2 linked regions of the Alligator mississippiensis genome follow. The protein of the gene in region 2 purifies or fractionates together with the protein of the main gene of each other region. This does not show direct contact. Links are inferred from orthologs where the notes say so. Each region holds a gene or a part of one and is shown on either strand. Other genes may lie near its edges.

Region 1 (3,749 bases), on a different chromosome or scaffold from region 2:
CTCTGCTCCCCCCCAACCCTTTCCTGAGAACCCACGTGTTCAAGATCCAATCCCTCCAAGACCTGCCCCCTCCTAGAACTGGGATAAGAACTCAGGCATCTGGGCTCCCAGCTCCATCCTGCCCCCCTCCAGAACTGGGATGTGACCCAGGCATCCAGGTGGGGACCCAGGCATCCAGAGATGCTCACGTCAGCCGGGAAGGTGTGGAAGAATGCAGTGGCAGCAATGTAGGTCATCTGGGCATAGAGCTCCTGCTCCCACAGCAGCTGTGACCCCTACGTGGATAGACAGACGGATGGACTTAGTCTGGATACTTGGGTTCCCTGGCTTGCGTTGTGGTTGTGGGGAGGGGTGGGGAGGCTGGGAGCCTGGATGTCTGGGCTCCCTGTCTGTTTCAAAGGGTGGTTGGGGGGAGACCCAGAAGACTGAGTTCCTTGCCTATCCTAGGGGTCAAGGTTTGAGGTCAGGGAGGGCAGGGGGAGGCAGTCCCAGGCTCCTGGATGTCTAGGTTCTCAGCCCATGCTAAAGATTGAAGTGGTGAGGGGCTGGAGTTCCAGATGCTTGGGTTCCCTGTGTTTCCTAGGGGTTAGGGACTGGGGCTATAGGCCCAGACACCTGAGTTCTTGGCCTGTGCTAGAGGTTGTGGCTGATCCGGATCCCAGATGCCTGGGTTCTCTTCCCACCCTAAGGACTGGAGGGAGGAGTCTAGGGGGCCAGATAACTGGGTTCTCTACCCATACTAGGGGCTTGGGCAAGTGGGGGTCTGGGTCCTGGACGCTTGGGTTTTACATCTAGACTAGAGGGTCAGGGTTGAGGTCGGGGGGTGGGGGTTTGGGGTCCCAGATTCCTGGGTACCCTGTCAATATAAGGGGTCAGGGTTGGGGTCAGGGAAGGTGGGGGCTGGGGAGGATGTCCCAGAGATGGGGTCCCACAGTAACCTGCAGGTCATAGAGGCGGATGAAATAGGAGCGCCGCGGGTTGTCCTTGACGAAGCAAACGACACCACAGCCCTGCTTGGCCCAGCCCCGGGCCCCAGGTGGCAGCGCCAGGAAGAGCTGAGCCACCGACGTAGCCAGGGTCTGAGGGTGGGGGAGGCCACAGGGGGTGAGCATTAGACCTGCAGCCAGCCCCAATCCTGTGGTGCCCTTCACCCCTGACCCGCACCCTCCCAGCCCCAACAGTGTCCCTCACTACTGACCTGCAGCCCCCATAGTGGTACCCAGTAACTCCATAGTGGTGCCTCTCACTCCTGACCCTCAGCCCCCACAATGGCACTCCTTACTCCCTACCCGCAGCCCATCCCCTCATGCCCCTCACTCCTGACTTGTACCCCGCCCAGTTGTGTCCGTCACTCCCAACCCTCAGCCCTGTGGTGCCTCTCACTCCCAACCCACAGCCCCCCGCCCCTTCCATGGTGCCTCTCACTTCTAACCCACAGACCCCCCAGGCCTCACCAGGCATTTGCGACCCAGGAGCTCGAACACCTGCTGGTTCTCATGGGGCTGGAGGAGACAGGAGGGGACATGGTCCTGGGGTCCTGGGGCCCCGATACGGCCCCCACGGCTCATTGTGGCTCTAGCCTTGGCCCTAGCTGGTCTTCGGGTCCCTCTGGGCCTGGCCGCACCCCAGGGAACTTCCGCAGGAAGCTCTGAAACCACCAGGCAGCGCAGGGGGAAGTGACATGCATAGAATAAATGAACAGAGGACTCCGGCTCTGGTGCTACTGCGAGGGCTTCAATTTCTTCAACCACGGCACACACATCAGGGACTGCCTGTTGGGAACAGATGGCATCCACCTCACACCAAAGAGGAAGAAGCTTTTCTTGGTTAGAATGGCATACCTTCTGGATAGGGCTTTAAACTGAGATGGCCGGGAGATGGGCTATCAACTATTAGTACAAGTCTGAGAAATTACAATCTTGAAGCCAGAATCCCAGGGTACAATAGGAAGCATTCTCCGACACCGGCCAATGGATAGGTTATTCCACAGCTCACCAGGTGTCACAGGCAAACTGAGTTATGTTAAGGCTTTTTAGCCATAGTCCAGGCCTTCCCAGAGCTAAGCAGCAAAATTGAACACAACGCCTTCTGTGGCATTGGGAGAGGCGAGTGCTGTGCTTGGGCACTAGGTGAGCAAGACACAAGAGTTTCCCTATAAGGAATATATCTGACACAGTGCCAGGGGATTGGTGAATCACGTAAAAAGTGCTTGGCACAGAGCCAGGGGATTGGACTATTTGGAATGAAACAATTAAAAAGTAATGAACAAACAAAGGAATATGTATGTTTTGTGTTGTATCTCTGGGGAGGCAGAAGCAACCAGAAACTAAGAGCCCACACACCCAGTGGAGGACCTGAGTCCTGGTACCCCTGAGGGTCACTGCTGTAGCATCTAAGGAGCCACTTGCCAGGTTGTATTATGGGGAGAAAACCTGTAATATTGTCTAGGGCAGGGGTGTCCAACCTTTTTGAATGTGGGGCCGGATCATGAACTTTTTATCACCCAGTGGGCCGGCAAGCCATATTCAAACACCCTCTGTCCTGGGCCAAAGAGACCCTGCCTGTGTAGCCCTACTGCACCTGCCTGTTATGGCAAGGTTCATGGTAGCTGCTGGTGGGCAGGGGCAGGAGGGACCCATTCTGCATCCAGCCAGCTACTGCCCCAAAGACAGAAGGGGAGAAATAAATAGCTCCACATCTCCATCCCCCGAGCAGCGCAGCCCCACGAGCCGGCGCTGCCTGAGGGGGGCTGGAGCGAGATGGCCGCTGCACCGCAGCCCCTTACCCGCCTGCCCGTGCGGCCCTGCTCACCATGGTGCCTGGCCGCCTGCAGCCTCAGTGGTCTCAGTGCTGCAAGCCTGGAGCGCGGGGTTCGGCAAACACTGGCTCCCACCACCTCGCCCCGCAGAGGTCACGCCACGACCCTGCCTGCCGAGGCCCCCCATGCTGGCTTCCCATGTGCTGCTGGGGACGGGAGGAGGCCGGCCAGGTTGGCACCAGCCAGCAGAAGCAGCAGCAGAGCCATGTGCCGCTTGGGACGGGACGAGCCCAGCCAGAGCAGCAGGGGCTCAGCTGCATTTTCCCCCTGCCTGCGCCAGTCAGTCCCAAGCGGCACACGGCTTTGCTGGAGCTTCTGCTGGCTGGAGCTGACCTGGCCGGCCTTCTCCCGTCCCCAGCAGCACGGGGGAATCTGGCTTCAGCCGCATGCTGCTCTGGATGGGACAGACCCACCCGGGTCAGCACCAGCCAGCAGAGGCAGCAGTGGAGCCATGTGCCACTCGGGACTGACTGGCGCAGGAAGGGGGAAAGTGCAGCTGAGCCCCTGCTGCTCCGGCTGGGCTCATCCTGTCCTGAAAGGCACATGGCTACTCCTCTTCCCACATGCACCGCGTCAGCAATGTCAAGCTGACACGGTGCATGTGGGAACCTTGTCCCTTCCCTAGCCCTTCAGCAGCCATTAGGAAGCTGCTGAGGTGACAGGGGAGGGACAAGGAGCAGGAAAAAAGTAAACAGTGTTTACTTTCGTTTCCCATTGCAGCACTGTGGGCCTCAGAAAATGCCTTGGCAGGGCCGCATGGTGGCCCATGGGCCGTGTTGGACCATCCTGGTCTAGGGATTACTATTAAAGTTCAATTGATACCACATTGGAAAAGTTGCAGTGTAATCCTTGGAGGGCTCTGGCAAAAAGAAATCCTAGTAGTAACACCAGGAATCCTAGGGCTTCTAATGGCAGGCTTAGGAGTCTGTAC
Region 2 (3,749 bases):
CCTGGGCTGCCTGTCATGCAGCCCTCAATGGCTTGCCGAAACTCAGTAAGCAGCCCTCTGCCCAAAATAATTGCCCACCCCTGGGTCAGGACAATATATACACAAAAGATTGAATCACTCATTGAAACAGATGCAACAAATATATGTTTGCCTTATGAATGGGTGCAGCAGCAACTTATGGGTGTGAAAATAATTGCTGACCTTGTGATTTTAGGGAGAGGTTGTACTTTATTGCTACATTATGCAATATCCTGTAAATTTTCAGTATTAGTTTTAAGATGATAAAGCCACCATAGTACAACCACATGGATATCTTTTATCTAACTCAAGCCCCTTGCAACAAACTGTTTCCTGCTGAATGATAACAAAAGGAAAGTGTGTTCACTCTAAGGAATCACAAACCTCAAAGCCTGCTTAGGATTATTTGTATGCTAACTTTAATGAATACCAACAATGAGTTTCCTTGTTATATTGAGATGAGAAAAACACAATAAAACACTGGTGTGGGCCAGGCCATCATTTGGCATAAATCAGTTTAGCTGCACCAAAGTCTGTAGAGCTATCCTGATTTTTTCCAAGTGAAGCTCAGCCCCTTAGAAAATGAATACAAAAGAAAAGGCATTAATGTAAAATGAAAGGTTGCCCAATTTAAAACACAGTCAGGAAATCCAAAGGCTCCCTCCAGCAGCACTGTACATTTCCTGTATATTCTGCTTATATATTCACTGAACTAAACATAAAAGCAGGACTAGAAAATGTCTCCTTGGTGCATCCCAGCTGCATTAACATTATAATAGGAACTTTAATTTTTGCAGCATCTGGTTCTTTCTCTTTTAGCAGTTCAAGCCTCATCCTGGGGAAGAACCTTCTGGAAGGGGCTCAGAGGGAATTTCACTCGCTAAAAGCAGAGCAGGATTTGGTTCCATGCCCTGAGAAGGTGCCACAGGTGTTAGACATCAGCCCGTCTGGGGTATGGATCTCCTTGCATTCACCGCGGAGCAAGGTCATCTGTGCAAAGGGTCTGTGCTCCAACAACAGCTCCAAAGCCTACTGCATGCCCCCTCTACTGCTCCTTGGCATCACTGCTCCAATGGAAGTCATCTGCTAAGAAAGTTGGCTCACATTTCTCTTATCTCCCCACTCAGTGCCATCCTTGGTCCATCCCTTCCGCTTCATCAAAAGGGAGTTGCTACACAGAAAGGAATACAGCACTGAGGCTGCACTGAATTTAATGGCCTCTCTCCTCAGGTCTGGTGAGGGGATGATAGAAGTTTTGCTTCCTCCCACAGACACATCCCAAGATTTATGCAGGTGAAACCCTGCTATGTGCAATACACGGGAATATTGTGATGGTTCACATATTAGAAGGCAACTAGAAAGACTCAAAATATATCTTCCCAAAAGAAATATTACTGGGTTTTTATTTGGAGAGCTGACTACAAATTTTTAAACCAGAACTATTTTTGGTTTAGAGAAATATGGGACTTATAGTACCTCATGGATGCCTTTTTTACATATAACCGCATTATACGCACACGGGCAATAGGTGAGACGTAATGGTGTCTGTGCGCCTGGTTGGTTCTGCTAAGGCTGCTAAAATTCTGAAAGCAAGTAGAAGAGGATTCATAACACAATTAGTAACGGTTCACCTGCTTGCAGTTACCCTGCCTGAAAACCTGAGGAAACTCCCAAAAAACAAGTGATCTTGACACTACACGACAAACTAGTCCTTTTTTCTTTCAAAACGGTTGGATTCCACAGCTTAGAAATAAAGAATGTCAGTTGCAGTTCAGTCAGAATTGGACACATTTTCTAAGATCAAATGATTATCGTAGCAAACAGTCTAACTTTGGACGGGTATAAGCTAATTTTGCTGCTAAACTAAGTTTGAAGCATGAAGCAGTAGTAAATTAATCCAAAACAAAACTTAGATGTAGAAATAAGGTTTAGAACAGGAAATGTACACTTACCCAAAATGCATCTTTAAACTGCAGCTGTGTCATTATTACTGAATTATGGAGGGGGGAAAATTCCTTCAACTGGTTTGTTCTGAGAACAGATTAGCAGCAGCACTCAGCTTTGCAGTCCTTACCATGCACCGGCTACAGCAGAAAGTTAAATACTTCCACACTCCTGTTTGCTCTAAATTCAAGTTGGTGAAAAACAGCATTGGGCAGTTTGAGGAAGCTCTGTGTCATGATCTGTTACTGTGAACAGAGAGGGAAAAAAAATCCTCACTCACAAGAAAAAAAAAAAAAAAAAAAAAAAAAAAAGAGAAACACCCTAGCCCCAGACCTGTTTCTCTTCTGGTAAACAGTTAATATTGAAATGAGGAAGCAGAGAAATGTCAAGCGATGTCAGCCTGCTTCTTGTCATGTGTGCATGTAAGCTACTGGCAAAAAGAAAAAAGAAAAAGAAATTGGTGAGAGTATCTGATCACCTACAGGAGGAGAGTTTGCAATAACAAAATTAATTAAACCAGCACAATAGAAAGAGATAAAGAAGAAATCAGATTCAAACAGCCGCACACTATAGCAGTATTGCAAAAAATGTATGCATGACATTTCTTTAGAATCTTTTGATCTTGGCAAAAGTCCATATGCATACACAGGAAGTGTAGTTACATAGTTATATTTTGCAACTGCAAGTTGCTTTCAATCCTCCAGCAGAACTAAGGAAATCATAAGGTTTCTTTTTTATATACATTTTTCTCTGATTTGCAAACTACCTTCTTCATACAAATGTTTGTAAATATGCATGTGTGTAAGTGTGTTTACTAAAAGAAACATGCTAGCATCTGAATGGTAATCCAGAGCTTTTCTGCCATTACTACATAAGAAATTTAAAAATGTGATAATTGAGTAAAATGAGAGCTAGCAAAAAACAAACTGTTCATGTGTGCTATGTCATCTGTAAATAAAAGGCTAAGGAAGTGACTGTTATATGCACAATGAAGCTGGATAAATGAGCTTTAGAAATTAATTCCAAACTATGTAGAAATCTAGAAGGGAGGGAGAAATTAGGGTTAAAAACTTACTAGCACAGAGATCTGAAGTTAAACATTCTGAAGCACAGACATTTAATTTGGCAGCATGCAACACCACACCCACTGAAGCACTGAAGTGCACATTATTTAAAACAAGTAGCTAGATAGGTTAATAGATTTATAGGTATGTTAATAGTGATAAATATGATCACTGTGCTTTCTTGAAAAAGCAGTCTATCTGTGTTTTTCCAAATTCACATTGTGTAATACTCAGTGCAATTTTTGTTAATCTCTTTCAAACTTTTGAGAGCTTTTGTATTTTAAAATTCTGACTGGAATTTGAAAAGGGAAACTTTTCAAGAGAAAAAATATCCCATACAAGAAAGCTCCCTTCATCAAACCACTTATTCCAAACTGGTCCTCTATGTGCTCAATTCAATTGCTGTTCTGCTAGAAAAAAATTAAGCCTGGCATATAGAAACAGCAATAGCACTTGTATCTATCTTTCAAGGATTCCAAAGTACTCACTGAAGAATCGAGAGCAATACCTGTAAAGATCCAGCAGATCATTTGGCCAACTGGGGTAGATCACGTTAAAAATGGCCATTGGGTCTAACTCAGTTCACCCACAATTTGCATCTTACTCTTAGATGCCTAGTTAGGTGGATCCAAGTGCGAACTGTACAGAAGTTCCAGGACGGTTAGTTTGGTCAAGAAATGGCTGACCCAATCTAATTTAACTGTATCTCAGAGGCGTACTAAG

Evidence for each region. The genes of interacting proteins can lie anywhere in the genome.
Region 1: the proteins of PSTPIP1 (region 2) and WAS purify together in Homo sapiens (affinity purification with western blotting; 3 studies listed by BioGRID and IntAct, with this or other methods). This does not show direct contact. The link is inferred for Alligator mississippiensis from reciprocal best matches to the Homo sapiens genes PSTPIP1 and WAS.

The regions. Positions count from the first base shown.
Region 1 is NC_081831.1:28,376,817-28,380,565, forward strand, and holds the start of WAS (actin nucleation-promoting factor WAS), read right to left. Parts: upstream 2,421-3,749; 5' UTR 1,569-2,420; coding exon 1,455-1,568; intron 1,080-1,454; coding exon 939-1,079; intron 276-938; coding exon 189-275; intron 1-188. UniProt on the Homo sapiens protein: Effector protein for Rho-type GTPases that regulates actin filament reorganization via its interaction with the Arp2/3 complex. Important for efficient actin polymerization. Possible regulator of lymphocyte and platelet function.
Region 2 is NC_081834.1:29,629,611-29,633,359, forward strand, and holds the start of PSTPIP1 (proline-serine-threonine phosphatase-interacting protein 1), read right to left. Parts: upstream 2,457-3,749; 5' UTR 2,004-2,456; coding exon 1,971-2,003; intron 1-1,970. UniProt on the Homo sapiens protein: Involved in regulation of the actin cytoskeleton. May regulate WAS actin-bundling activity. Bridges the interaction between ABL1 and PTPN18 leading to ABL1 dephosphorylation.